Rattus norvegicus: one gene and its partners. The protein of the gene in region 4 purifies or fractionates together with the protein of the main gene of each other region. This does not show direct contact. Links are inferred from orthologs where the notes say so. Each region holds a gene or a part of one and is shown on either strand. Other genes may lie near its edges. The genes, in order: Bcl7c, Sin3a, Dpf2, Smarcc1, Ss18 and Bcl7a.

The links.
Region 1: the proteins of Smarcc1 (region 4) and Bcl7c purify together in Homo sapiens (affinity purification with mass spectrometry; 4 studies listed by BioGRID and IntAct, counting the BioPlex papers as one, with this or other methods). This does not show direct contact. The link is inferred for Rattus norvegicus from reciprocal best matches to the Homo sapiens genes SMARCC1 and BCL7C.
Region 2: the proteins of Smarcc1 (region 4) and Sin3a purify together in Homo sapiens (affinity purification with western blotting; 3 studies listed by BioGRID, with this or other methods). This does not show direct contact. The link is inferred for Rattus norvegicus from reciprocal best matches to the Homo sapiens genes SMARCC1 and SIN3A.
Region 3: the proteins of Smarcc1 (region 4) and Dpf2 purify together in Homo sapiens (affinity purification with mass spectrometry; 9 studies listed by BioGRID and IntAct, counting the BioPlex papers as one, with this or other methods). This does not show direct contact. The link is inferred for Rattus norvegicus from reciprocal best matches to the Homo sapiens genes SMARCC1 and DPF2.
Region 5: the proteins of Smarcc1 (region 4) and Ss18 purify together in Homo sapiens (affinity purification with mass spectrometry; 4 studies listed by BioGRID and IntAct, counting the BioPlex papers as one, with this or other methods). This does not show direct contact. The link is inferred for Rattus norvegicus from reciprocal best matches to the Homo sapiens genes SMARCC1 and SS18.
Region 6: the proteins of Smarcc1 (region 4) and Bcl7a purify together in Homo sapiens (affinity purification with mass spectrometry; 4 studies listed by BioGRID and IntAct, counting the BioPlex papers as one, with this or other methods). This does not show direct contact. The link is inferred for Rattus norvegicus from reciprocal best matches to the Homo sapiens genes SMARCC1 and BCL7A.

The regions. Positions count from the first base shown.
Region 1 is NC_086019.1:191,751,491-191,756,467, reverse strand, and holds the start of Bcl7c (B-cell CLL/lymphoma 7 protein family member C), read left to right. Parts: upstream 1-1,826; 5' UTR 1,827-2,086; coding exon 2,087-2,178; intron 2,179-2,655; coding exon 2,656-2,734; intron 2,735-3,083; coding exon 3,084-3,192; intron 3,193-3,284; coding exon of another isoform or gene 3,285-3,287; coding exon 3,288-3,449; intron 3,450-4,751; coding exon 4,752-4,837; intron 4,838-4,977. UniProt on the Homo sapiens protein: May play an anti-apoptotic role.
Region 2 is NC_086026.1:66,380,116-66,385,208, forward strand, and holds the start of Sin3a (paired amphipathic helix protein Sin3a), read left to right. Parts: upstream 1-1,667; 5' UTR 1,668-1,804; intron 1,805-1,892; exon of another isoform or gene 1,893-2,151; intron 2,152-3,914; exon of another isoform or gene 3,915-4,020; intron 4,021-5,093. UniProt on the Homo sapiens protein: Acts as a transcriptional repressor. Corepressor for REST. Interacts with MXI1 to repress MYC responsive genes and antagonize MYC oncogenic activities. Also interacts with MXD1-MAX heterodimers to repress transcription by tethering SIN3A to DNA.
Region 3 is NC_086019.1:212,625,099-212,630,161, reverse strand, and holds the start of Dpf2 (zinc finger protein ubi-d4), read left to right. Parts: upstream 1-1,872; 5' UTR 1,873-1,923; coding exon 1,924-1,955; intron 1,956-2,263; exon of another isoform or gene 2,264-2,415; intron 2,416-5,063. UniProt on the Homo sapiens protein: Plays an active role in transcriptional regulation by binding modified histones H3 and H4. Is a negative regulator of myeloid differentiation of hematopoietic progenitor cells. Might also have a role in the development and maturation of lymphoid cells.
Region 4 is NC_086026.1:119,048,243-119,052,743, forward strand, and holds part of Smarcc1 (SWI/SNF complex subunit SMARCC1), read left to right. Parts: intron 1-1,656; coding exon 1,657-1,915; intron 1,916-3,186; coding exon 3,187-3,348; intron 3,349-4,501. UniProt on the Homo sapiens protein: Involved in transcriptional activation and repression of select genes by chromatin remodeling (alteration of DNA-nucleosome topology).
Region 5 is NC_086036.1:6,060,799-6,065,299, forward strand, and holds part of Ss18 (protein SSXT), read right to left. Parts: intron 1,139-4,501; coding exon 971-1,138; intron 335-970; coding exon 230-334; intron 1-229. UniProt on the Homo sapiens protein: Appears to function synergistically with RBM14 as a transcriptional coactivator. Isoform 1 and isoform 2 function in nuclear receptor coactivation. Isoform 1 and isoform 2 function in general transcriptional coactivation.
Region 6 is NC_086030.1:38,901,217-38,906,431, forward strand, and holds the start of Bcl7a (B-cell CLL/lymphoma 7 protein family member A), read right to left. Parts: upstream 3,555-5,215; 5' UTR 3,417-3,554; coding exon 3,325-3,416; intron 1-3,324.

The DNA of each region.
Region 1 (4,977 bases), on a different chromosome or scaffold from region 4:
GGTGCTGGGAACAGAACTACTGTTCTCTGAGAAAGCAGTAAGAGCTCTAAACCATGGGGCCACATCTCCAGCTCCTATTTTCTTGCTTACTATGTATCTTGTTATTAGACCAGGCTGACCTCAAGCTTATAGTGATCCACCTGCCTCTGCCTCCTCGGTGTTGAGATTAAGGTGTGAGCCACCAACCTGGTCTTTTTTTTTTTTTTTAAAGAAAACTCGACATTTATTTTGGCTATGTATGGTATGTCAGGTGTGTGGAGGTCAGAGAGCTGTCAGGAGTAGGTTCCCTCTTCTATGATGTGGGGTCATCTATTGAGTTTAGGTCATCAGGCTTTGTGGCAAGTCCCTTGTTCACCGAGATATCTTGACAGCATTCATTTTCTTTAAGTAAACCTTTAGCTGAACTATAATACACACAAGAAAAATTACAAGTAATAAATGTCCATCTTGACAGACTAAAGACAAGTGTGACAAGCTCCCGGAAAACACCATGAATGTACTTGTGTTCTGAACTTAGATGTAGAATTATCTAATGCATGTTGTCACATCTGGCTTCTTTTGTTGCAGACCCATCCCCACCATTGCACATAGCAGGACTTTGGTTTTTCTGGTTGTTTTGTCTGTGCTCATGGTATAAACAGGTTGTAACTGGTTTTCCATTCCATTCTGTTGAGTGGCTCCCAGGTTGGTGCTATTATGAAGAGTACCGAACTTCCCAGTATACATATCTTGGTGTTCATACAGACACATTTCGTCCTAGTGAGGTTTCTATTGCTGTGATAAACACCGCATCTATTTCAGCTTGCAGTTATAGTCTGTTATGAAGTCAGGGCAGGAACTTAAAGCAGGAACTGAAGGAGGCCAGAACTGAAGCAAAACCTTGGACGAACTTTGCTTACTCACTTGCTCCCCAAGGCTTGTTCAGTCTGCTTTCTTAAAGTGCCCGGAGGTGGCACTGCCTACAGTGGTCTGGCTCTCCCACAACAACTATTATCAAGAAAATGCCCGGGGTTGGGGATTTAGCTCAGTGGTAGAGCGCTTGCCTAGCGAGCGCAAGGCCCTGGGTTCAGTCCCCAGCTCCGAAAAAAAGAAAAAAAAGAAAAAAAAAAAAAAAAAAAAGAAAATGCCCCATAGACTTACCTGCAGGGCAACATGATGGAGGCGTTTTCTCCATCAAGGTTCCCTCATTCCAGATAACCCTAGCTTGTGACGAGTTGACAAAAAAGAGGCAGCACATATTCCTTCTGTTGAGTGTTGCTAGTTTGGGAGTGGAAACTGTTGGAAGACGGGGTTGGCATAAGTTTTTCAATGGAAGACTGCCAGTTTTCCAAACTATCTCTACCAATTACACACCCTGATTCAAGGAATGGCAAGTTGCTCCTCTGCTACTTCATCTACATGGTCTTTTTCACTCCCGCCATTCTGATTGAGGAGGCCGGCTCTCCACTCGCAGAGTCTGGCTTGTACTAGGCGCTGTTAATGGAACTGTTCAATGAATGAATGAATGAATGAATGAATGTATGAATGAATGAATGAATGAATGAATGAATGAATGAATGAATGAACAAGTTAAGTTGGGCAGCTTAGAATCAAACAGCCTGGAGAGGGCAGACGCGCGCACACAGAGCATTTCAGGGACGCCCACCCGCCGCGGACGCACACCAGGACAGTCCCTCTCGCGCACCCCTGTGCCCACGTGGCCGGAACGCACCGCCTCGTTCGGGCCGCGCGCGTCCAGCCGCACCGCTGCCCCCCAGCTCTCCCTCTCCGCGGCGGGCAGAGGGCGCTGTGCGTCCGTGCGCCCCGAGGGGCGGGCCCGGGCCGGGGCGGAGCTGGCCGGGCTTCCAGGCCGGGGCTCTAGCCGCCCGCGCCGCCCGGGCCGCTCCGGGGACGGGCCGGGGCGGGGCGCGGTCTCAGGAAGCCAGGCGGGGACGCGCGGAGGCGTTGGGGAGCGAGGGAGGGCGCGGCCAACTCCCGGAGGGACGGCAGGCCGAAAGAGCGGCGCCGGGGCCTGGCGCGCAGCCTGAGATCGCCGGACCGCAGGCCGCCCCACCACGGGCTCTGTCCCGGCCCTAGCCCCGCCAGCATGGCCGGCCGGACCGTGCGGGCCGAGACCCGGAGCCGGGCCAAAGATGACATCAAAAAGGTGATGGCGACCATCGAGAAGGTCCGGAGATGGTGAGCGCTGCCCCCGGGTCAGGGATACAGCCAAGCCACCTCCTCCAAACGCGTCCGCCCTTTCCTGGCCCGCTGCCCCCGCCCACCAGCTGTGATCTAAATCGACAGGGCGCCCCCTTTCCTTGGCAATTCCCAGAGGTCTACAAAGCGTGGTCCGGAGTGGTGCTTTCCCTGAGCGGGAGCCCTCATCTATGCCCCGCCCCCTGAAGCTTTTGACACTCTCGCAAGCTTGGCCCGGGGTCTTCATTGCCTGAGTGCCTGGGCAGGCCTTGGTGGCGCCCTGCTGAGTGCCCCAGGTGTCTGCAAAACCGCAGCTCCAAGTTATATCCGTTTATGCTTTGCCCTGGGGTTTAGAGGGCTCTTTCTGCTTCTATGCCGTGTAAACGAAGCTGTCCGTACCCTAGCACACCTCCCTGACCTCCAGTCTGTGGGGCTCACCCTTGGGCCTCCCTGACCCAGTCTCCTGACCTCCCACAGGGAGAAGCGCTGGGTGACTGTGGGTGACACTTCCCTTCGAATCTTCAAGTGGGTGCCTGTGGTGGATCCCCAGGAGGAGGTGAGCAAGCCCAACCCCCAACATGCCTTGCATCTGTGCAACCTCAAGCAATTTCCCTCCCCTTGGCCTCCACCTTCAGTCGGCTTGGAGACTCCACTGTGGAGCCCAGGCAGATGGTAACGATTATTAGGGGGCATGAGCACGGAAGCGCGCGCGCGCGCGCGCGCGCACACACAAACACACACACACACACACACACACTTTCTCCAAGTTCAAGACCTAACTCGGCCTACACAACCTGAGGCAGCACCTTTTGCTTCTCTGAGCCTAGGTTTCCTTATTTGAATTGAAGGACTTTGTAAGAGCTCCCTGGACAAACTAGCTCTGATCTTACTTCTCTAACCCTCAGGAGAGGCGGCGGGCAGGAGGAGGGGCAGAGAGATCTCGTGGCCGGGAGAGGCGTGGTAGGGGCACCAGTCCCAGAGGGGGTGGCCCCCTCATCCTGCTGGATCTCAATGGTATGTAGAGATTCTGGAATAGGGGTGGGGGGGCTGGGTGCTGAAAGAAGCCACTGGGGTCCTCTGGCCAACTAACTTGACTTTTGCTTCAGCAGATGAGAACAGCAATCAGAGTTTCCATTCCGAAGGTTCACTGCAAAAGGGCACGGAGCCCAGCCCTGGGGGGACGCCCCAGCCCAGTCGCCCTGGATCACCAACTGGACCTCCAGAGGTGATTACAGAAGATACTCAGCCCCCACAACTGGGCCAAGAGAGAGGTAGGACCATGTGGCTCTTGGGAGTCCTCTCCTCACCAGAGTTGAACCTACCGCCTTGTATGTGTTTCTATATTGTGTTGTGTCCCCCCCCCCCTCCCCCGTCCTGCCTCCCTCAGGGAACCTTTCCTGACCCTGGCAGAAATTACCTCTGGCTGTGCCTGGCTCATTCCTTGGCATCTTGGATTTGTAGGGAGCGTGTCGCCATCTGAAAACTTTATGTAAATGTACTTTTTGCTTGCTTATTGCCTCTCTGTTACCATCTCATGTCAGACACACTGATCTGGTTCATGTGGGACGCATAATAGATGTTCGGCAACTAAATAATTCTGATAACCCTAGGGATTAGTAACCGTAGATTAACAGCTGACAGAACCACTTATCTGTTAGTCATTCTTCTGAGCACTTCAATGTTTTGTGGTTTGTTTTCTCATTTAACCCTCACTGACATTTTATGGAACCAATGATCCTATGATGATTCCTATTTATACACGAGGAGCCCAACATCCAGAGAAAGATGCCCAGACTTGCAGAGCCAGTGCGCCAGCTCCTCGGCCTTCCTGTAGTCCACCCCCCCTTCCCAGGCATGGCTGACTCCCGTGCCTTTGGCGCTCCCTTCTCACTTCTCACTTGCACTGGCTCTCGCCTCCACATGCTACAGCTTTCTTAGAGCAGATTCCAATCGGCCATTTTCCTGCTTTGTGTCCTTCGTTGGCTCCCGTGGCCTTTGATTCCTTCGTTTGAACCAGAGGCCTTTATAAACTGTTGCTACTGAAATTGTTCCCCTGTCAAGAACACCATGACATGGGGCTTGGGACCACACCTAGGTTGTCCCAAATACTTTCGCTAATATGAAATGATGGGGCAGGGCATGCAGCCCAGTGCAGGTGCTTGTCTGTCATGCCTAAGGTCCTAAGCCCCATCTCTAGTACCACAGAAATGAATGAATGAATGAAACTGCTAGCTGGCACTTCTTGAGCACATACTATGTGCCGTGTACTTGATCCACACAGCAGCCTCTCATGGTGTTACTGTCACTATTTCCATTCTGCGGATGACTGAGAGTCTGTGGTCACTAAGCACATATTTCTATCTGCCTAAATTCTACTCTACCTCCGTTTGCCTCCTGGCTCATTCCCTACTGACAAGATCCAACTTGAGTCTTCCTTCCTCAGCAACTTGGTACCCCTCTGCCCCCACAATGTCATCATGTGTGACCAGTGCCTGTCTGTTTCCTTTGCCCCTGGTCCACTCTCTCAGCACAGAGTAGCTGCTCAGGAAGTGTCTCTTTGTTTGGTGTTACAGATCCAGGGGGCACACCTGCAGGAGGTACTGATGAACCCCCAAAGCTGACCAAGGAGGAGCCTGTTCCAGAATTGCTAGAAGCCGAGGTGAGAGAGGCCAGAGTCCGGACTCTGGCCTTGTGGGGACTGGAGGCTTTGGGGAAGCAGGGAGACTTCATTCTAGGCTCCAGGAGGGAGACGTGGACCTAGAGCCCACAGAAGGCTTAGCTGGAGGTTGGATTCTTGGG
Region 2 (5,093 bases), about 53 Mb from region 4:
GGATTTTTTTCCCTTTGCTCTAGAGCGCGGGAAGACTAACCCCGCCTAACCTCACACGGCGCAGCAAAAGGCTCCCCAAAGCAAGGTCGGCATCGGTCCTACGCCTTATTAGTGAATAAATGAAAGGAATTAGGTATCTCAAAGCACTTTATATGTTTAGGCATTGTTACCTACCAAGAAGGCTTAGAGACCGCCATTAACTCATTCTGCCAAGGAGGCCATGGATACCCCTCACATTTTTTTTTTGAAGGGGCTGGCCTAGGAGACACTATTCCTGCCCTATCGAGGATAGTTGCGATTACAGGCTCTTCCCTTTGAACAGTCGTTTTTAAGACCATATCCTTCACACAATCTGGAATTTTTACTCGTTATCTGAATGTGAATGCACACTCAAGGTTTATTTATACAGTGGTCTGTGTGAGCTTTTCTGCATCCCTTCCTCCAGTTTAAAATGTCCCTGGATCTACCCGGCCGACCTGGAATACATTTTTTTTTCTCTCATGCTCCGCCTTCCGGAGGCTTGCCCAGGCGGTGACATTTAAAGGCCTCCGCTGGGTTATCTCCGCCCCCTGAGGGCTGCGGATTCTGGTTGTCCCAGTGTCACAGTATGCAGCCGGCTCTGGCGACTGGCTAGTAATATCTGGGTTTTTTGTATCAGATTAGAGCTCCAGACATTAATTTTGGAGTCGGCTTGCTGAAAGTAGCTGCTGAGTGCTCCAGATGGCTGTGTTTAGAAGACCGTGAAAGTGTAAAAATAAGTGGGTAGGAAGGACGAGGCTTTCTGTCATTGTTTTGGTTAATCCTCCAATGGTGGTAATACTACTGCCTTTTCCTTTTCAAATCTCAAAGCCTCCGGTTTCGACCGCTGCGCTGCGCGCCATCTCCGGTCCCGGCCTTGGAACGCTGAGCTTCAGTCTCCAGTGTAAACATTCCACAAAAGGACTGCTAAGGTTCAGCATCCTCGCGCAGGGCGGAATGGTCTCCTTCCTGGACCGGCGCCGTGTCCAATGGCGGCTCCTACCGGCGCCAAGATAGTCCAATCAGATCTTTGGGGGCGGAGCCTGGCCCAGCAGTGTAGTGGGTGGAGTCGGCCTCACTTAAGGACATTTTTACCCCACATTGGTTACTTACCTTCCTAGGGCTATGAGAGAAGCAAAGGTAGTCTTCCAATGCGGGAACCGGCGGAGGCGGGAGCCGATTTGTTAGGCCTGTGGCTGGGGCGGTATGGGGAGGGATATGTGAGACTCTCCAATGAGATGTGACGAGGTACCCTTCTTCCTCCAATAGTATTGGAGCCTGGAGGAGGGATTCGGCAATCAGTCTCCAATAGGCGGGGTTGAGTTAGGGACTCTCCCCGCCAATAGGGGCGTGGAGAAGGTGAGCGGCTTGCTCTCCCCTCCCAGCGAGGGAAGAGGGCGGGAATAGGCCTTTGCGGCACGGTGATTGGCTAAACCATTGACGGATGGGTAATATATCCCGTGGCGGAGCGAGGTTAAGCCTTCCCTCGGCGGGGCGGGCCGGGAGAGTGGGCGGGATTTCCCGGGTAACAGAGAAGCGGCCGCGGCGGTAGAGGCGGCAGAGACGGTTTCTCCATCTTCCCCCCTCCCCTTCCCCCCTTAGAGTTTCCCTCCCTCCCTCCCTCCTTCCCAGTCTGGACACCCAGGCCTGTGACCGCTTCGTAGGCGCAAAGGAGGTTGCCAGTCCGCTCTTGCGGGCCTGTGCCCGCGCCGTTCCGGGGCCTCCGTGCTGGGTGCGAGGCTCACGCCGGGAGCGACGCGCAGGCTGAGTGGCTGGAGCTTTTGCGGTGAGAGCACGCCGCGTCGCGGTCTGCCCAGCAGCTGGGTGGCGGGTAACCCGGGACTGGAGGGCGTGTGTTTTTCGGGGGGGCTGACCTCGGCTTCCCGTGCGTGGCTGTGGGGGGCGGAGCGGAGCCGCACTCAGTGCGGGAGGGGGAGGAGAGCGTAGTCCCGGTGCGCACGGAGGGGCGGGCCCTAGTCCCGCCGATCAGAGGCGGGGCCGGCGCGCGTGCGGTGGTGGAGAAAGGGGCGGGGCGGGCTGGGACTAAAGGCCCGCGGCCGTGGCCCCGCCCCTTCTCCCCTTGTGGGCGGGGACACGGGTTGTACTGCTTTGGGTCCGCGGGGTGTGCGGGACGAGAAGAGGGTCCCGGCGTGTGGCTTTTAGGGCGCGGCGGCGAGGGGGCGTGAAGCCTGTGTTCCCCCGCCTTAGCGGGATCCGGTTGGCCGGAAGGCGCGTCCGGGGCTGTGATGCCACGCCCCTCCCGCCCCGCCCCCGCCGGGATTTCCGCCTCCTTAGCTGTGAAGCATAGCTGGGGAAAGCCCGCTGTAGCGTCTGGCAGGGGTCAGGGTTCCGTGTCTGCCCCGCCCTGCGTCCCTGTAGGTGGGAAGGCCGCTTGTAGACTGGGAGCGGTGGAGGTGTCCCGACTTTCTGCTGTGGCTTCTCCATCCATTCTGCTTGGGGCATCGTGGCCCGGAGCTGTAGTCTCTACTTTGCTTCACGCATCGTGAATGGCGCCTTAAAAGCTATGGAGAGTAGAAGCGTGGTCAGCTGCTCCTCTTAGTTGTAATTATTGGGACGAGAAACTCAGCGTCCTCTCTGGAGTGTCTGCGGTGGGGTGCGGCTGGTGCTGGGCCCATGCTTCCCCGCCAGTGGCCGGTGGGGGAGGGGCAGCGTACTCAGAGACTGAGATTCTGGAGGGCGCCAACCTTTCCTAGAGTTCCCTTGGTGTTCAGCTACTGTGCCTTAACAGAGCTAAGCTGTGCACCCATGGGTAGATAGCTAAAATTTGCTACCATTTTTGGTACCTCAGGACTTTAAACTCAGTTTGCCGTTCCAGCTCCTTATAAAGCTGAGACTGTATTTCTAGAGAAAGGATTGAATTTACTTCTTAATCTTAAAACTGGTCTTTGGCAGAGATGATATTTGAAGATGATTGTGTGTGTCGGAGTTTATTTAAGGCACATAAGTATTGCTTCACCACTAGGTTATACCCCAGGGCTGATTTTTTTTCCTCTAGTCAGAATTTTTCTTTTTAATTTAAGTAAAATACTTTGATTTCTTGATTTTTTTTTAACCTACAGAAGGTTTTGTTATATAAGCTTAGCTGCACAAAGGTAACTTAAAATTTTGTGTTCTCTTTTAGTTTTATGTAATTGTTAGTCCTTAAAGATCTTTTTAGATGCTAAGTAGGTTGAACCTTATGAAACCTATGTGTAGCATGACCTCCCAACCTGTGTTACTTTGGCCATTGTGGATTTATTGCACAGGTAACCTTATTAGGTGGGTTGGTGTTAGCTGATCTTATTTAGAGAACTTTTTATGAAAAGTAAACACTGAATCCTTAATTTATGTATTGATGTCTGAATGAGTATGTATAAACCACTTTTAAAAAAGATTTATATTAAAGTGTGCGTGCGTGTGTAAGGCCAGAATAGGATGTTAGATCCCCTGTAGGTGGAGTTAACAGGTGGTTATGAGCCACCCGACATGGGTTCTGGGAACCCAACTTAGGTCCTTTTGCACGAGCAGTCTGCAGTCTGTATTGAGCCGTCTCTAACCCCATCGTTTATATGTAATTTCTGAAGCTAAATTCTGGATTTGTCCTTTGTTCAGTAGAGGCTGAAAACCATGCCCTGTGCCGTACATAATGAAGAGGTTAAATATTCACTTTTCAGCTAAAAAAGTGACAACAGCAGTAGTAACAGAATTGAGGTGGAGGCCAAAAGATAAGAACTTGGGTGTCTTACAGATGTAGCACATTGAAAACGGTAGTAGAGAATGCTTAGCCTTTGAGGAAAGTTTGCCTAACCTCAGTTAATTCTACCATTTGAAGCACAGTCTGGGAAATACAGATGACCTAATTCATATCTTTTTTGTTTTTCTTGTTTTGTTTTTAGAAACAAGAGTTTAACTGTAGCCCTGGGTGTCCTGGAGCTCACCCTCTAGACCAGGCTGGACTCAAATTCAAGAGATCTGTCTGCCCCCCAAACGCTGGGATTAAAGGCATGTGCCGCCACTGCTGGGCATAATTCGTACTCTTATAGAATGTGTATTCTAGATTGTGTGCTGGAGTCACAAGTCCTAGGCTTTAAAAATTCAAGAACCTAGTTATATTTGTTTGCTTTTGTTTTTGTTTTTTCTATTTTTACATTTCCATCCATCAGTACTATATGTTTATTTTTACTTACTAGTATCTAAGAGAACCTGAGTTCAGTTTTTAGCACCCATGTCAACATGTATCTGGAGCTCCAAGTACTGACACCTCTGGCCCCTAGGCACCCAGACACAGGTGCATACCCATATATCTATACACGTGTGAAAAAAACAGAAATATAGCTTTGAAAAATGTTAATACTTTTAAATTCAGGCCTTAATAGTTCGCATAAAGAAGTTTTTTTTTCTTCTTTTTTTTAAGACTTGAGATCGGTATTAATTAGATTCCTGGCAAAGCACAGCCATCTTGACAGTGCAGCCAATATCCTGAAAGGCTATCCAGGGTAGCTGTAGGGGGAAATTTACTCAGAATTCAGAGGTTGTGTTCATGACCTTCAGTAATCTAGTGGTTTTTTTCCCCAACTAAAAGTGTATGGACTTATATCTTTTGATTCTTCTTTTAAAAAGATAGTACTTGCTTTTTTAAACAATAGCATCCCTCTTGTAATAAGGGTTTATATTTATTGAACTCCGATTCTGATCATTTGCTAATGTGTTTAATTGTATGTGCACGCATGGCTGCTTTGAGTTGTGGACTGGTGAAATGGGCCACTCATTTATCTGAACCCGCTCTGGAGCTCAGCCTGCCTAGAACTCAGTGATTTTCTTGCTTTTGCCTCAGCTAGGGTTACATCTCTGTTTTGAAATGCATGTTTTACAAGTGAAGGTGGCTTCAGTGGGTAAAGACATTTACCATGCAAATTCTTTAAGACTAAGTTAGATCCCAGGAATCCACTGTGGAAGGAGACAGCTAACTCCTGAACATTGTCCTCTGACTATCATATCTGTGCAACCTTCCTAACAATAATAACTAAATATTTCAAAAACAACAAGGTGAGGGGCCAGGGAAATACCTGTCAGTA
Region 3 (5,063 bases), on a different chromosome or scaffold from region 4:
CCCCGCACTTGAGAGAGATGTCTCAATGGTTAAGAGTATTTGCTGTTCTCCAGAGGACACATACAGAATACATTCACACACACATACACAAACTAAATCTTTAAAAAAACAAACAGCAGATGCCCATGCCTTTAGTGCTAGTACTTGAGAGGCAGAAGCAGGTGGATCTTTGTGAGTTTGAAGCTAACCTGGTCTACATAGTGAGTTCAGGTACAGCCAGGGCTATGTAGACAGACCCTCTTTCTTTTTTCTTTCTTTCTTTCTTTTTTTTTTTTCTTTTTTTCGGAGCTGGGGACTGAACCCAGGGCCTTGCGTTTGCTAGGCAAGTGCTCTACCACTGAGCTAAATCCCCAACCCCGACCCTCTTTCAAAAAACAAAAACAAATACAAATTTTAAAAGCCAGTGTACTGGGGTTGGGGATTTGGCTCAGTGGTAGAGCGCTTGCCTAGCAAGCGCAAGGCCCTGGGTTCGGTCCCCAGCTCCGAAAAAAAAAAAGAAAAAAAAAAAGCCAGTGTACTGTAGGAACACTTGACATTGTTAGCTGTCCATTAAACACTTGTGTGTACTTTGGGACTTCCTTTTGATTGTGGTATAGTTGAAGGTATGGTGCCTAGACAAGCTAAGGAGGGAAGGTCCTTCTATTTCTAGCTACCTCAGTGTAAGGAGGTGCCTGAGGTCAATGAGTTCAAAGCTTCAGGTTACCACTCTGACACAGGAGTTCCATGTATGGCTGGTGTCTGTCCCAGAACCCAAGGCAATAATGTCCTCTACCTGTGGCTCCTCTAGCTTCAGCTCAGGTCTCGGGTGAGACTGCATGAGTAAGAATGTAAGAAAGGTGCCTCTCTTTTACCCTACCCCACCCCGCCAGGAGAGAAGCTACACCAGCACTGAGGCTGCAGGAAAGTGAGAGAATACAGACTCTGCCAGGGCCTGCCGTTAATACTGCATACAGCTGGTAGCCATGTGTAAGCTTTGGGGATCTGTGTGGTTTCAATATGGTTGGCCCAGGGAGTGGCCTTGTTGGGGGAGGTGTGTCACTGTGGGGGTAGGCTTGGAGAGACCTTCCTCCTAGCTACCTAGAAGCCAGTCTTCTCCTGTTTGTCTTCTGAAGAAGATGTCGAACTCTCAGCTCCTCCAGAGCCATGCCTACCTGAATGCCATGATGATAATGGATTGAACCTCTAAAACTATAAGCCAGCCCCAATTAAATACTGTGCTTTATACGAGTTGCCTTGGTCATAGTATCTCTCCACAGGCGTGGAAACCCTAAGATAGGGTTCCATTGAGCCAGGGTGTCAAGAAGTAGGTCAAAAGAACTGTGGGATCCTGGAGTTGGAGTTACAGACAGTTCTGAGCCTCTATGTAGTGTAAGCTTAGGTTTTTCAAAGCCTACTTTATTTAGGGTTCTTAAATGCTTCAACCTCCCTTTTAGCCCACCGACGAGAGGTAGGGAAAAAGGCAGATTAATAGGCAAAGGGGGTTGCGGACAGAGGTACCTAAAGGACTGGGTACCTCCCTGACCTTTCCAATCCTTCCCTGTGAGTCAATCATGTGTCTAACGGTCAGCTAGGCAGGACACTGTTGCTCCTTCTAGCTCATCTGCCTGGCCTATTCACTTACCTTTCTCACTTTCCAACCAAGCCTTCCTGAGGCTCTACTAAATGGAGGGGAGACAGATCTCCAGAATGAGCTGCAGAGGGCGCATAGTTTTCCAATCGCGCCTGCGCATCGGGATCCCCTAGGCTCCAGGTCGGGTCGTTTTTTTTTTTTTTTTTTAGCGCTCGCCCTCGTGAGCCTGTGCGTGCGCGCACCCTCGGGCTGCGCCTGCGCAGAGGATCGAGGACCGTGTGTCCTGAGAAGGCTTAGCGCCTGCGCGTTGCGGGCTTCGGGGCCTCCCGGCCTGAGGGAGAGGAACTGGGAAGATGGCGGCTGTGGTGGAGAATGTAGTGAAGCTGTGAGTGGTCTTCTTTTTTCTTTTTCTTTTTAAAAATCTCTCCTGTACAGGAAATCTTGTAATGGGGCCTGGGAGTAGAGAGGGAAGTGCGGGAAGAGAAAAGACAGAGAGAAGGACATGCCCGGGAAGTCCTTGCTGTGCGACTGCTGGTAGGGAGGGCAACAGGAGACTCTGGAGAAGGCGCTGGGCTTCTTTTGGAAACTTGTGGAGACCGGGAGGGGGGCACACTAGAGTCCCCGACGAGCGTCCTTCTCGCGGGCCGAGCCCCGAGCGGAGCTGCGGACTGCGAACGAGAGGCTCACGGTCCCTGGCCCCTCAGTCCCGTCGCGCTGAGGCCGGCGGCCCTGGGAGATCGGGGTCCCCTCTCCGCCCACCGCCCTCCCTGGGACTACAGGCTCCGCCGTACCTGCTGGGATCCTAAGATTTAAGCAGCCCGGTGACATTAACCGGGAAATCCGGGGTACACGAAACTAAAACTGTTCTTGGGAAGAATTGTTCCAAGAGCAGATACAGAAGGGAAAGAACTTCTGGGAGTGGGCAACTAGACCGGAACCAGACGGCCTTCTGGTCCGCAGGAGCCCCGAAGTGGGCGTTCTCTGTACCCTAGATGCCATTGTGCGGGTCAGATTTCGAGCAGAGCTGAAGTTAACGGTTGTTGGGAAACACTGGGAACGGGGACTGGCCTGTTAGCCGCTTCCCCCGAGTTAGAGGTGTTTGGGGTTTTGATGAGTCTCCTCCTTCCTTCTTGAAGAAGAATCGAGAGTTTTGGAACGGGGTTAAAAATGCCCGTTGGGCTTAAGAATGGCCTTTTCTTCCTTTAATGGCCATGTTGGGCGTGATGTAAGAATAGAAAAATGGAAGTGTTCAGGTGTCCAGTCAAAGCTTTTGGATTCTGGATGGCAAAGTAATGGTTTAGGAACTATTCTGGAGGACTTTTCGCAGCTTCATCTGTCTTTGTCGTGGGCTGAGCCCCCATAGTCCCAAGAGGCTTTTTTTTTTAAGGTTAAGTTGCTTCTCCCCCGCTGCTTGGAGCCCTTTTCTTCGAGAATGCTTTCCCACCTCCATTAAGCTAAGTGCCTTCTCTTGTGGCTTTTTTTTTTTTTTTTTTTTTTTTTTTACTTGCTTTTGGCTTCATCCTGCTGCCTCTTTCAACCACCCCTCCTCCCAACACTATTATCCTTATGATCTGCCCCCTCCGGCTTCCCCAGCCCTCTTTAGGCTGACATTTCCCTTAATTTAGAAATGAAGCTGTTAATTTAACATTTTTATGGTTCTCCTTCTAGACTCAGCTGTTAGGTCTTTGTTACTCTGCCTTTCTTTGTTGACCTCCCCTATTCCTGGTGGAAGGGGAGTTGTCCTGTGCCCCCACTCCTACCCCACAGGTTTCCTGTGAAAAGAGGAGCCACAGCTTTTACCCTGGAAATCTTACTTTCTAGAAGAACGTGTTGCCTAGGTTTTCAGAATTACATGTTAATGGAGCTCTTCATATTGAAAGATGGTCTTGCGGAGAATGGAGTTGCCAACCCATTGGTGTAGTATTTTAAGTGTTGGTTCCCATTTAAATAGAGCAGTGCTGTTCCTGCCTCTTTAACCAGTCAATGGTTCCTAGTGTCAGCGAGGTACTGAGTTGATTCTTCCCATTTCTAGGTGCAGAAGACTAGACATCACTAACACGTACCTCACAGAACTTTCCCTTTATAGAGAAGACTTTGATTCTCACACCATTCTCACTTTGGAAAGATGCCTTTCTGATACTTTCTTTTTTATTATAGTGTGCTTAAGTCTTCTGGCAGCTGACATCACTCATTGAGGGAAAGACCACTAGTTCATCTTTTTCTTTGATTTTTGCCTTGTGAGAAGACTTTGTCTTAATTTTCTGCTTTTCTCAAATACATTATCATGGTTGACATAGTCTTTAGAGTATAGAGTAAATACTAGTCTAAAAAATAACCATGACTACCAACTAGTTTTTAAAACTTTATATGAGTTATATAAGGCTATCTGTAGAATAACAGAAGCTTGAAATTTTTTGCTACAGAGTCTTGAATTCATGTATTCTCCCCTTTGCTGCTCTCTTCACACACACACGCACACGCACATGGGCACACATACATGTACATAATTTCTTCTGGCCATTTCTCCTACTAGAGCACTTGCTTCACCTTCTAGAATCTTACCTGACCTGCAGGAGCCGATTGGACATTCCAGTCATTCCTCCAGGCCTTCTTCAGCCTCTGTGCTTTGACTTTGCAGTCTTCAGCCCCACTGGGCTGGTCCTTCCTTCCGTTTGACTTCCAGTGTCAGCATCAATTCCATCAGCAGAAACAAAGGAGCTGCTGCAGTCAGCCTTGTTTATCGGTTTTTCCTGTGTGGTAAGGACAAGGCTGCCTCCTAAAGGCGAGCAAATGTGAGCCTGCTCTCTTCTGTGCTGTGCGCTCCAACACATTCATACCTTAATTATAGTTATTACTGCTCACTGAATCAACTCAGGCTGTACTTGTAGTGTTGCTGTGTGTGTGTTTTTATTAAGCTATGCAGTGGTCTCCTGTGACTGCTCAGTGAAAGTCCCTATCAGATCCTACGTTAGTGCTTGTCCATACAGCTTTAGTTGTAGGTATTGGCCACTGAGACTGAGACCTTCTCCCTCTTGCTTTTCATGCCTCCTTATCCCTACTATCTCCATCAGAATCCTGGCAGGCCAGAGATCATCTAATCTAACTGCCCCAATCTATAGGAGAGGAATGGAGGTTCATACAGATTAACCACATGACTGTGTCCATGTGGTGCCTGTACCAAAATCAGTCTTTTTACTCCCAAATCCATCCTGATGTGATCTAGATGACACCTTCATGGGTCCTGGGGATACTATGGGAAAGAAGTCTCTTCTGCCCTCAATGTTTTTTTTTTTTTTTTTTTTTTTTTTTTGTGGGGTGGGGGTTGGAATGTGGCTCAGTTGGTGGAATACTTGCTTAGCATGCAAGAGATCCTGGTTTGATTAGCGAGCACCACATAAAACTGGATGTGGTAGTGCATGCCTTTTGGGGAGGTAGAGGCAGGAAGATCAGAAATTCAAGGTCACTATTGACTGCATATGGGGTTGGAGGTGAG
Region 4 (4,501 bases):
AGTAAGGCTCAGCAGCATTGTTTACTATTAACACTGTCCCTGAAAGCAGTTATGTAGAGCAAACACTAGCTTACAAGGCAGGTTTCTGGGTGTACACCCTCTAACCTAGCATTTGAAGATTGCAAGTCCTTTGCCTTCCATGATTAAGTAGGGCAGCTTAAAAGCCAGATAAATGTGAGATCACTGAAGGTAGGAGAGAGAACCTTTTTCAGATTTGTGAATCTGTAAGGCAAAGCTTTTACCTAGATCACACACACTCCTGCTTCTGTTCCAGACCCTCCCCACTCCACTCCCATTTCCCAAAAAAGGGTATCAGGAAATCATGCCACCAGAGAGAAGTAACAGTAGCAAGCCCTAAAAGGTTGACAAGTTATTTCATTTGTTATATTTTCTTACTATTTATTTTATGTATTTAATCATATAGATTCAGGTTTTCGTTTTTGTTTTGAAGGTTTTTACGACTTTTTACCAAAACTCTAATAAATTTTATGACTCATTCTATTCTGTCCTGTCAATCTTTTACTGCTAGCCTCAATTTTTATTAAAAATCCATTGTCTTGTAGACCTTAGTGTGTTTGTATGGGTAGATGATGATGTGTATGTGGAAGGCAGGGCAACATTGGAGTCTGTTCTCTTCTAACATCTTGTGGGTTACTAAACAGTGACTTCGTCTCTCAGCCTTCTCACTTGCCCCTTTTTATTGTTTGTGTCTCTTTCTTTCCTCCCTTTCTTTCTGTCTGTCTTTCTGCCCATCTTTTCATTCTCTCACGTTGATTTTCTTTGTATCATGTTGGTCTTACACATAATTTACTCAAATTTTTATTTCATTTTAATAATGTTACAAATATTTTTCCACTTTAAAATTGTTCATTGCGGGCTGGAGAGATGGCTCAGTGGTTAAGAACACTGACTGCTCTTCCAGAGGTCCTGAGTTCAATTCCCAGCAACCACATGGTGGCTCACAACCATCTGTAATGAGATCTGATGTCCTCCTCTTGTGTGTCTGACACCTACAGTGAACTCAAAAATAAAATAAATCTTTTTTAAAAAAGTTATTCATTGCTATGAGAGGAATATAAGCATTGTTCTTGCTTTCTCTTACGCTTTTAGCCCATCTGATATTGTCGTGGTAATCTTCAGCCACCATCTCAGAGTAGATTCTTTGAAAGTTTTCATGTAAAGAGTAGTGATCCAGTTTAAACGAATATTGTAATGTTCAGGTATTTCATTATTGTTTTGTTGCCTGATTGACAACTTATTATAAGGGTCACTGCCAGATTACCTTTTACCTTAATGTAGAAATAATTATTTATATTACTAGTTTGAAATAGGATCTTGTCCACTCTGTTATCTTCAAATCTTGTCTCAGTTTACAGACAGTTGGGGTTGAAGGGCATGCGCCACCATAACTACTAGATCACTACCCAAATTTTTTTAGAATTCTGTCTGCAGAATCTTAGCAAGGTTGGGTTTGCATGCCTAGCACTCTTGAGCCTGTGAACCAGGGTTAGTAGAAGTTGAAGACCAGCCTGTATCACATAGTGAGATCCTGTCACACAGAAGGGGGAAAAAGGGCACTGGCTTCATTTTTCTTCCCTTCTATTTTCCTTCCTTGTTATTTGATGCTATCACCCTTTTGTTTCTGTGTTCACTTAGGCTCTGGAGATGTACAAGGATGATTGGAATAAAGTCTCGGAACATGTTGGAAGCCGTACTCAGGATGAATGCATCCTCCACTTTTTGAGGCTTCCCATTGAGGACCCATACCTTGAAAATTCAGATGCTTCTCTTGGGCCACTAGCTTACCAGCCTGTCCCTTTCAGCCAGTCAGGAAACCCCGTGATGAGTACTGTTGCCTTTTTAGCATCCGTGGTTGACCCTCGAGTAGCATCAGCTGCAGCCAAAGCAGCTTTGGGTATGTACTTCCTGTGAAAGCTACCTCTCCAGCACTAAAGTCTGACTTTATATTCAAATATGATTAGCCATGAACTTAACATTTGCCTCAGTTATATAAAGTGTATGCTGTGCAAGCATGAGGGCCTGAGTCAGATCTCCAAAGCCTGTGTAAAAGCTAGAAGCTCTAGTATATGCTTATAGCATCTATACTGGGAGACAGAATAGATGGTCTCACAAGTCATCCTGACAGGGATAGTAACTCAGAGATAAGGTGGAGGGAGAACTGATAGAATCTTTGTTGATGTCAACTGGATTAAACCAGCAGACTTAAACCCAGGCACAAGCTCACCCCCACACATACATACAAATGCTTTTAAGAATATCAGCTGTGTTAATACACATTTCTCTCTTATAAGTCACACAACAAAAACTAAAGATAATGTGCTTCATCAAAATGTAGAAAATAATTTGTAAGGACTTTGTTTTTCTTTCACTTTTAAAAATCTATTTTGTGTGTGTGAGAGAGGGAGGGGAGGGGGAGAGGGATGGAGGGAGGGAGAGAGGGAAAGAGAGAGAGGGAAGATCACTTACCATGATATATCTCTGAAGGTCAGGATTAGCAGTGCAAGGGTGAGCTTTGTCCTACTACGTGTGCCTCATGAATTGAATTGTCAGCCTGGCCACAAATGTCCATTCTGGCTGAGCCATGTTGCTGGCCCATAGAATATTTGTGGATTTAGAAGAACAGCTAGATAATTTGGCATAACCTGTGAAATTGCAGCTTTTTAGAGGAAGAGACAAAAGAATCAGGAGTTTAAAGTTCAGCGTGGACTATTGTGGATCTTGTCTCAACCAACATACATGTACATACACACTCGTGTATAAAGGAAAGTAAGTGTTTTATGACATTAGGATATTGGTAGAGATATAGCATGGAAGCTACTTAATTTATTTTCAATAACTTAATTTCACCCAGGCATCTTTTATATTGTAGGATTTACATTTTTAAGGTTGTTTGATCCTTGCTGTTTTTATAGTTACCAGTCTTGCCAGCAGAGTGGTGAAATCAGGACTGAAATTTTACTTGTTTCTAATAGATTTTTAAACAACTTTTCAAAGTATAATAAAGAAGGCACTATTATGTTTTGGATAATAACCTAGGGAAGTGATTGGATTGATTCATTTTATATTTTCCCTAGTGTGCTCACTGTATAAACTGATGTTACTTTGTCACACTAGGATCAAATATCTATGCAAAATTAAGATATTGTCTTTGTGATCTTGACTCAGAGGAGTTTTCTCGTGTCCGAGAAGAAGTACCCCTGGAATTGGTGGAAGCGCATGTCAAGAAAGTACAGGAAGCTGCAAGAGCCTCTGGGAAGGTGGATCCTACCTACGGCCTGGAGAGCAGCTGCATTGCAGGCACCGGGCCCGATGAGCCGGAGAAGCTTGGTGCGTCACTAATGAGTACAGCATTCGCTTTAGAGATGCTTATATTCCTGTCAGTGTGCAAAATCACGGGCTTTGCTTACACACAAGCAATCAAAACAATATAATGTGCCTCTACATTTTATTATATATATTTTTCTCACATTCTTGTGAGGTGGACAAGGGGGACGTGGTACAGAGAAAGCAAGAGCTAAAAACAGTGCCTGATAACCAAACAGTATCAGTTCCTCAGTATGTATGGGTGTGAGTGTGAGTGTGTGTGCCATAGGTGTAGTATGTATGGGTGTATGTGTGTGAGTGTGTGTGCCATAGGTGTAGTATGTATGGGTGTGTGTGTGTGAGAGAGAGAGAGTATGTGTGTGTGAGTGTGTGCGTGCCATAGGTATAGTATGAATGGGTGTGTGAGTGTGTGTGTGCCATAGGTATAGTATGTATGGGTGTGTGAGTGTGTGTGTGTGTGTGTGTGTGTGTGTGCCATAGGTATAGTATGTATGGGTGTGTGTGTGAGTGTGTGTGTGCCAAAGGTGTAGTATGTATGGGTGTGTGTGTGAGTGTGTGTGTGCCAAAGGTGTAGTATGTATGGGTGTGTGTGTGTGAGAGAGTGTGTGTGTGTGTGTGTGTGTGTGTGCGTGCCATAGGTGTAGTATGTATGGGTGTGTGAGTGTGTGTGAGTGTGTGTGTGCCATAGGTATAGTATGTATGGGTGTGTGAGTGTGTGTGTGTGTGCCATAGGTGTAGTATGTATGGGTGTGTGCGTGTGTGAGAGAGTATGTGTGTGTGAGTGTGTGTGTGCCATAGGTGTAGTATGTATGGGTGTGTGTGTGTGAGAGAGTATGTGTGTGTGTGCGTGCCATAGGTGTAGTATGTATGGGTGTGAGTATGTGTGTGTGTGCCATAGGTGTAGTATGTATGGGTGTGAGTGTGTGTGTGTGTGTGTGTGTGTGCCATAGGTGTAGTATGTATGGGTGTGTGTGCCATAGGTATAGTATTTATGGGTGTGTGTGTGAGTGTGTGTGTGTGTGTGTGTGTGTGTGCGCCATAGGTGTAGTATGTATGGGTGTGTGTGTTTGTGAGTGTGTGTGTGTGCCATAGGTGTAGTATGTATGGGTGTGTGAGTGTGTGTGTGTGTGTGCCATAGGTGTAATATTTATGGGTG
Region 5 (4,501 bases), on a different chromosome or scaffold from region 4:
GGAGTGATGGAAATGTAGCTCCAGATAGCACCAACAGTGACCACACAAATATACCTTGAGTTAATTACAAACCAGTGTCCTTCTTGTCAGAGCTATACAATACCAAATGCTTCTACATGAAGAAACAAGTTGGTAGTTTCTTCGCCCCTCATTAAAAAGTTGTGAAATGCTTTCTACATTAATACTGGGCAGGGATAGAAAACGGGAAGGGTAACATTAGAGAGATTACCATCAGGGTAATATTGCTGGTTCATGCCTTCTGGAGGACCTTGTCCACCATGACTGTATTGGTCCCCATAATAGTCTTCCTGGCCTGAGTACTGCTGTGGTGGGCCTGAAAAACCACAACCAGTCAAGACATAAATCATTTGTTCTCTGCGTCATCCAAGGCGATCTTTCTAATCTGCTGTTGCGAGAGACTACTTCTGAGCAGGAGACTCCCACAGTGCTTGGGCACTATTCCCATGCACACACACACACACACACACACACACGCACACGCAGGTCCACACGTCACGGTTATCAAATCAGTAAGACCATACACATAATACCAAACAATACCAACTCAGAAAAGCAACCTCTGAAGCAGAGGCTGAAGCAGGTGGAAACTGATTTCTTTTTACTTGTTACATTAGTATTAAGGCATTTTGATATAAAATTGGCTTTGTTCTTTGTCATATACTTAGTAACTTCTAAAAAAGGGAGAGAGGGCATTTTCTGATGTAAATGAGTAAATTTGATAGAAAAGTTTCTGATGTGGTATTTCCCTAGAGAACACCAGACAAAAGGAAGCCATGTGCTGGGAAGCTCCTCTATGCCTCAGGACTTCCTCAGGGTTCCCTAAACCCTGCTACCTTGGTGGGTGGCAGGGGAGTGCAACAAAAGCCAGGATGAACAGTACATTAAAACTTAAAGCCTTTCAATGACTGTCATTTACAGTAAGCAAGGAATTTTCCAGATGGCTTCTCACCCTGTTGTGGAGGTCTATAGGGAGGCATCTGTCTCTGGCCCATCATGTGACTGCCTTGGTTAACTTGACCCATCAGCCCCATGGGCGCCTGCTGTCCTTGGTAATGCTGCGCACCTCCAGGTGGCATGCTGTACTGCTGAGAAGGAGGCTGCTGGTGCATCATGGGACCTGAAGACAGAAAAACATCATCACGCGGTGTTCTGGCACTGCTGCTCAACATGCGATGACAGGTACAAGACTCTTACCACAGAATACACAAAGTGTGTACTCGAACAAGGGACACTGACTGCAAGTATAAATGAGTCTGCACAAAGCTCACAGGCCCACATTTATCTGCAAATAAGGAAAACAACCAAACCCCAGTGGAACCCTCAGGTCCACCAGAGCACTCCAGTCATTTTTAAAAAATCAACATGGAAACAAGCTCTTTCTGGCATATACATCTTCTATCCGCATCATCTCACCGGCTCTCAAGGCAAAAGCATCTTACCACAGCATGAGGAAAGCGATGAAAATAAGACCGACAGAAGAAACCCACTTCTGGGTTTGTTTCCTTCTGTATGTAGAGAGGATGATAAAGACTTATTCTCTGTATGTGTGTGAGTTTGCATGACTTATGCACGCTGCATACATGCAGGAGCCCAGGCTAGACCAGGGAGGGAGGGCATCTGGAATGCAGAAGTCACAGGTGGTGTGAAGGCTTGGGACTGACCTCATGTCCTCTGGAAGAGCAGCAACACTTCTACCCACTGAACCATCTCTCCGGCCCTACACTCTCATTCCTTTTAGTACACATTTATGCAATAGTGGTAAGCAGAAACCTACAGAAGCACTTCATAAACATATCAGTTAAATTTTATAAACTTCAATTTTATGCAAAATTAAAAAAACTTTCCATTTCCCAAACCTTTTATAAGCTTTACAAACTAGAAATATATAGTGCTTTTTCTTTTTCTTTGAAATATCTTTTTATTTTACATTCTTTTTTTAAGGATTTACTTTATGTATGAGTACAGTGTTGTTGTCTTCAGACACATCAGAAGAGGGCATCAGATCTCATTACAGATGGTTGTGAGCCACCATGTGGTTGCTGGGATTTGAACTCAGGACCTCTGGAAGAAGAGTCAGTGCTCTTAACCCCTGAGCCATCTCTCCAGCCCTACAGTGCTTTTTCTTAAAAAAGAAATTTTTTTGTTTTTTTTTTGTTTTTTTTTTTTAGTTTTAATCATATGTGTACAGGTGTTTTGCCTGCATGTATGTATCTGTGAACGATTTGTACGTATGCCCAGAGGCAGGAGAGGGCACTGGATCCCCTAGAGCTGGAGTTACAGACATGACAGCTGTCATGTGGGTGCTGAGAAGTGAACCAAGGTCCTTTCCAAGAACAGCTCAACCATCTTTCCAGCCTCCAGGATCACGGTGCTCCTTAATAAATAACTAAAATCCTCTCACCTTGCCCACCCTCTAACTTCCTACTCCCAGTCTCCCCACCCTAAAAACTACCAGGAAAAGGTCTGTAGTAAAGCATGGGCTCAGAGACAGGTACACTCTACAGGGTGAGAGTTAGGAAAAGGTCTGTAGTAAGGCATGGGCTCAGTACACTCTACAGGGTGAGAGTTCAGCACCACTGCTGCAGCACATACAGTGAAGATCTGTCACGTGACCCGCAGTGGCCCTCGAATTCTGTGTGGCCGCCTAGCAGTGTCAGATGCTCCCCGAGGGCTGCCGGGTCCTTAAAGAGCAGAGTCCCACACTCTCAGCCCGCTGACTCGAGTGTCTGTGTGTCGTCTTGCAGTCCTGCTTACATAGCGCCAAACTTGGGGGTGAGTTAAAGTACAAAAGGGAAAGCTGTGCAGGCCACGATGACACAGTGAGTCAGAGGCTCACTATTAATTTAAACAAACATCTAAAAACCAAGCAGCCACTTCCTTAAGTTTCCAGGGACAATGTGAGCACAGAGCTTTACCTCCTCAGCAACGTGACCATCTGTTCCGTGGGAAGAAAAGCTTCTTCAGAGCTGCTGTCTCCCTGAGCACCTCTGTGTGTTCTGCTTTTGTCTAACTCTTCTCGGGTCTCTCCAGTTTTTATCACTGTATGTAGAAGCTCTCCAAAGCCCTGGAGCCCTTCAGCATGGAAATGAATTCTTCACAGCAGGAGGAAGACGGCTCAGTAAGACTGGCAAGGAGGCAGACCCTGGGCGCACTGTAGGTACCTGCAATGCAAGCTGTCACCTGCACTTCCCAGGGCACCCTGGCAACCAGGGAATCCACAGAGCAAGCTTGCTAACAGTACCTGGCAAGATTACAAATGTCAAGCCGAGTTCAAAGTGCACCTCTGTGCCTGTCCTTTTCACCTGCACATCTCAGAAGCATTGGGTGTAGTGGCTGCAGTATGGGTGTGAGCCGTGCACATGTAGAGTCGGAGGAGCCCACAGGATCCCCTAGTTACAGACAGTCATGAATTGCCATGTGGGTACTGGGAGCCGAACTCGGGTCCTCCAGAAGAACGGGTGATCTTAACCACTGAGTTTATCACTCTAGTCATGAACTCTATGTGATAAAAACATTTTAATGCTGTTACTCATAATTTATTGTCAACCTGACTGGGCCTTTTAAATTTCATTTTCAAGAAATGAAAGGTTTGCCTTATTTTTATTTTCAAAAACTGCCCAAAGGACTCCTGACTTAGAAGTTAGGCTGTATCTGAATATTGGAGCCAAAATGAAAGGCATCGCTAGGGGAGGGGCTCTCAAATATCTATCACAACAAAATTCTATCTCACTTCAAAGTCCTTCCAGGAGAGAGGAAATTCCAGCACAGGGCACAGCCCACACAACCGTGCCATCTGAGCCCTATCTCTATCTGCCTGCAGCTCAGTCACTACCTTCCTGAATTCTGTCACTGCCCCCAAGGCCTCACAGCACTCAGGATCAACGTAAATCCAGAGAAAACAGGAGAGGAAGGCAGCACACACCCGGCACTCTGCACACGCCCTTGAAGGCTTATCCACGAAGTTTAAACGTCAACTCTGATTATCTAGGATGCATATGGTTTTCCTTAACACACTAACGGGAACAGAGCAGTTCAGTGAAAGGCCGCCAATTCTACGGATGGCAGAATACCCCAGAATAACGTAGACTGGCAAGGTGAATGCAAATAACGGCAGCAAGCATCTGTCACTTCACAGATGTCCCTTGTTTCTATAAATGTCGATATTAGATATACGACAAAGTAGATAATGCATACACAAGATATAGAATACCTCATTAATCTAAGAATTTTTCATATATTTTTCACCATTTCCACACTAATCCACTTTGAATTTTATAACTTACTACACAGTCTACAATAACAATTCTACATTAAACACAGAAAATAGTCCAAAATTGCTATACTTTATTACTGAAATCCTGAGCTCCAAAATTCTGTCAAGAAGCAAATGTGAGTGCTTCTCATTATGTAGCAGGCCCAAGGCAAGGAGCCTGGGTGACGGACAGACGTGGCAGACATTGTAACCATCTCAGGGGCTTAC
Region 6 (5,215 bases), on a different chromosome or scaffold from region 4:
GAAAAGCCCCAAACTAGTCAGTCTGTCCTTATGTGAGTTGCTAAAGGACTTCTTGGACTGAGAGCTGAAAGGTCCTGGACCAATGCCTACCACGAAGCTCTGATCTCCCTTTGTCTTTCTCACTCACACTGGGCCTCCCAGCCTGACCCAATAGGGACCTACCATGTTGTTCTTCAGTCATCTTCTGGCTACCTCACACCCCACCAACCCGCCCTGCCAGGACACCAGACAGAAAGAAGAGGAGTAGCCGCCAGCTATGGGTGGGGAGGCCATAGTTCACACTGGCTCCTTCTGCAGGGCAGAGGAAGGGTAGGGCTAGCCAATCAGAGTATTAAAAAAAAAATACCATCCTAGGCTTTCAGACTGAATGATATGCCAGACACCTCGCCTCTCCTCTAAATAAAATACAGGGGGTTGGGGATTTAGCTCAGTGGTAGAGCACTTGCCTAGCAAGCGCAAGGCCCTGGGTTCGGTCCCCAGCTCCGAAAAAAAGAAATAAATAAGTAAAATAAAATACAGAATTCCTCACTGATTTTGAGTTTTTCAGATAAATGGATAACTGTTTGGTATGTGTCTCAAATATTTCATGGGCTATACTTACATAAAGGGTTGTATATGTGTGTATGTGTGTGTGTGTGTGTGTGTGTGTGTGTGTGTACAGCCAGAGCTTTGTACATATTAAGCTCAAATTCTACCATTAAAGCAATATTCTCAGTAGACATTTTCATTTTTGCCTTTTTTTTTGAGACAAGCTTGAATGTAGACCAGGCTAGCCCAGAACTCAGTATGTAGCTGAGGCTATCCTTGAACTCCTGATTCTCCTGCCTCTACAAGTGCTAAGGTTATAGGCATACATCACTATACGGGGGAGGGGGGACTTTTTTTTTTTTAAATCACTTTGTTATTTTTCTGAAATTCAAATTTACCTGGGTGTTCTGTATTTTCCTTTGCTAATTATGGCAGCCCCATGCCTTAGCCAGTGGTGAAATGCATGGTTGGTGCCCACAGTTAATAAACAACCCCAAAGCCTTCAGGGTTGATTGCAACACTGTTGTACAGACAGGCCAAGACCAGATCCCGTGACTCAAGGAAGCCCCCTGCATTTCTGTGTAAGATGGGGACGGGAAGCAGATCCAAATTTCTACAAAAGTCCACCTTACATAAGGGCGTTTACAAGGGCCCCTGTGTACTCCAGTGACTCCACCTGACTAGCCAGTCCTAGGCAGTTCTGGAAGGGGAAGGGGCACCGAGTCCCCTAGTTGACAGCAGCAAGGAACTTGAGTTTCATGCTTTGCCCAAGGTCACAGCTAGGAAGAGAAGTAGAAACTCGAGCAGGAGATCCCAAAAAGCCTGAAGTCTTTAGAGGTCATGATGCACTACGGGGAAGAAGGCGGCCACATCCCCCGCTGCACTCCCAGGCTCCGCAGGCTGTGAACCCGCTGGGATGGAAGAAGTCTCCAGGCCTGCTGCTCTGGGGCCCGCAGGGTGGAAAGCCCCATCCCTCCATCTGCCCGCCCTGCAGAGCAGCTGGCAGACCCAGCGGCAGCTGTCACAGCTCCAGGACCAGAAAGGCAGCTTACACCGGCCAGCCTGCCGCTTTCTACCGTCCAGGCCGGTGACAGACAGAAGGGACGCTTGCTCTGATATCAGTTCTCTACCACCCCAGCCTTCCCTTGAGAGTCCCACAGGAGAGGGTCCGTTACTGTGCTGTTTTCCTGTGTTTTGGCCTGCAGCTGTTTCTGCCATTTTTAAATGGCTCCAGTTGGGCACTAGTCGCCCTGCTCAGCAGGGGAGCTCCCGGCACCCAGGACTTGGATCTCAACTTTGGAAAGCCTCCCCTTCTCACGGTTGTGAAAATTCTTTGTCCCATTGGAGCCAAACCCAGCCCACGGCGGGCATCCGGCCATCCGCAGACAGCCCTTTCCATAGGAGGCCCGGGAGCACGTGGACTTTATTGATTTTTTTCCTTGCCTTTTTTGTTGGGTTTCACTCTGAAAGGACAGCTAACTTGTGACACCATCAAGCCGGAGACAGGCACCCCCAGAAGTGTTTAAAAAAAAAAAGACAACAACAACAGAGGCGTGACTCAAGAAATGAAACCCCCCCAAAATAACAGCCTGCAGTGGGGCCTGGCCAGTTCCTATAAAGGACAGGTCCAGCCAGCAGCCGCTGACACTTGGGGACACCCTCGCAGCTGCTCCTCTCCCGCTCGGACCCAGATGAAGCCGTGGGAAAAAAAAAAAAACGTAATAAAGTTAAAATCAGGGAGCAGGGAGTTTTCAACAAGTCTGACCCAACCTGGTGGTGGACTACTGGAGCCTCAGGCCTGGTCTCTGGGGCCGCCTCGGAGTCAGATCCCGACGAGGGCCGTGAAAATGTTCCATCCTACTAATTATAACGAGGCCACGCCGGGCACGATCTAATTTGAGCTCGAAAAACACGCACGGCCCACACCGAATCTCCCGGTCCCCTCCTCCTCCCCCAGTGCAGAGAACAAAAACAACGGTCGCTCGCTCTCTCCGCAAAACAAACACCAGCTCCAGCTAGAAGAAGGCAAGACACGGCCCAGGACTTGGCTTCTGGCTGCAAACATCGCGTTCCCCAAGCTCCGGGTGCCGCGCGGAGCGCGTGGGAGCCGTGGGTGCTCCGCGCCCGGGCCGCGCCACCGCCTTCCTAGCGCTCGCCCCCATCTTCCTTCCTCGCCCGGAGCCCTCGCTCCAGGCTGCCCAAAGCGCTAAATTTAAACGGCTCGCGCTCTGCAAACTCCGCAGACTCGAGGGCGCCGAGGCCTGGGAGGCGGGGAGCTGCGGGCGGGTCGGGGCGTAGGGTGAGAGTGTGTGTGCGTATGTGTGTGTGTGTTGGGGGGACACCGGCGCCGCGCCGCCCCGGGAGGAGACGGCGGCCCGCTCCGCGCTGCACAATGGAGCTCGCGCTCTGCCCGCCGCCGCCGGCATCACGGCCCCGGCGCGCGGGAAGCCGCTTTCATGTGACTTGCACAAAAAAACGAAATGGCTTCTGGGGCCGGCTGCGAACCCCCCTCTCCCGAGAGCCGAGCTCGGAGCTCCGGGCTCCGGGCTGCAGCCGCCACCGCCACCGCCACTGCCTCCGCCGCCGCGCCAGGTGGGCGACCGGCGCCAAGCACACCTGGGCAGCGGACGCAGCCCCCGCGGGGCGCAGGTGACCCCGGCCGCGCGCCCTCGCCAACTCCGGGCCCGGGGCCGCTGCGCCCCGCCGCTCTGCGCGCTGGGTCCCGGCTTGCTGGCGGCCGCGATGCGGTGCAGCGAGCCGGGGAGAGCTAGAGAGCGAGCAGGCGCCTCGGCTTACCATTTGCGCACTTTCTCGATAGCCGCCATGACCCTCTTGATATCATCTTTGGCCCGGCTCCTGGTCTCGGCTCGAACCGACCTGCCCGACATGGTTCTAGCGGGGAGGGAGAGAGAGGAGAGAGAGGCTGGGGGAGCGCGCCCGCCGGGTCCTGCTCGCCACACTCGCCCGCTCTCTCACTCGCGCACAGACACACACTCACACACATACGCGCACACACAAAGCCTGGTGCCGCCGCGCGCCCGGGGCCCAGTGCGCAAGCGCCGGGCGGCAGCTGCACAGAGCGAGGGGGAGCGGCGCGGCCGCCAGCAGTGCGGCCTCCGGGCGCCGCCGCCCACCCCGGGGAGCCTCGGGGACCTCGCCCTGGGAAGCTATCTTGGGTGACCCCGACCTCCCAGCACGCGGGACGGCCCCGCGACCGGACTCACCCAGAGGCCGCAGGTGCGATTGGGGGCCTCTCCGTCCAAGACACACACCCTGGGGATGGCAGACTGCAGGCCGTGGGTGCTCTGGCTCGGGTTGGTGGCCGCGGGCGCGATCGTGCAAGTTTCTTGTCGGGCGCTTGAGTTCTCGGAGTTGGAGGCTGCGGTTTGGGACGCGAGGTGATCTTAGAAAGAGTTGAGGCGCCGGTCTCTGGCCAGCTGCCTTGTTAAAATGTGCGAGCTAGAAAGTCGCTTCCCCATGCTTAAACTACAGTCCTAGGAAAGGTGCTGGAGCCCGGTGGCAATTGACATTGTCGCAGGACTTTCTTTCCCGTAGAGATAAGTTGTCCCAGTCACGGATCAACCTCCTTGGGGTTTTCTGAAAATGACAATTTAATCTGAAACGGCTCCTAGTAGAAGTGCAGTGTATTGGCCCGGAGCAGCAAGTAAACCGGACTGGTCCAACACAGAAGGACTTTCTTTTGAGGAACTGTCTTCCTACCCTAGGACCGAGCTGCGTGGCAGAATGTACCGCGGTCAACCAGGATAGGGACAGGTGGGTGTGCAGTTGCGGCTAGACAGACTGGACCAGAGCGAATGCTCGTCCAGGTGGATGCTGGGACAAGAGATGACCTAAAATGAGCATTGATGCCAACATCAGCCCTTTCATAAATGGGGAAACTGAGTCAAGGGGTGATTCAAGGTTGCAGCCGTGAACTTCATCTGCGACTGCTGTGATTCTAGTACCCAGCACCCCCCCTGAAGTTTGGGGTGCTGCAGGGGTTTGGTAGAGGGAACTAGTGGGGAGATGGGGGTGAGAATCTGTGGGATCTTCCCCAGGCTTATCTTTTAACCACTTTAAACACAGGATCCTAATGCGGAAAAAATTAAAATATGGAGGTTGGGGATTTAGCTCAGTGGTAGAGCGCTTGCCTAGCAAGCGCAAGGCCCTGGGTTCAGTCCCCAGCTCCGAAAAAAAGAAAAAAGAAAAAAATTAAAATATGAACGGTCAGGCCTGGTAGCCCAGTCCTTTAACTCCAGCACTCCTGAGGCAGAAGCAGGCAGATCTCTGTGAGTTCAAGGCCAGCCTGGTTTATGGACGTAGTTCTAGGACTAACTAACCAGGACTACATAGTGAGACGCTGTCTCAAATCCAAAATCGAAAAACAAAAAAAAAACAGTCGAGCCAGGCAGTGGTGGTGCACGCCTTTAATACCAATACTTGGGAGGCAGAAGCAAGCAGATGTCGATGTGTTCAAGGTCAGCCTGGTCTACATAGCAGTGAGTCCCAGGACAGCCAGGGCTACAAAGACAAACTCTACCAAAACAAAACAAATAAATAACAACAACATACACACACACACCACAAATATGTCAAAGAACCATTTTTATCATGGTTGAAAACTGTGCTGTAAATCAGAAGTCTCATACTTTTGGCCCTCTGTATCTGACCATCAGATATGTGCTTG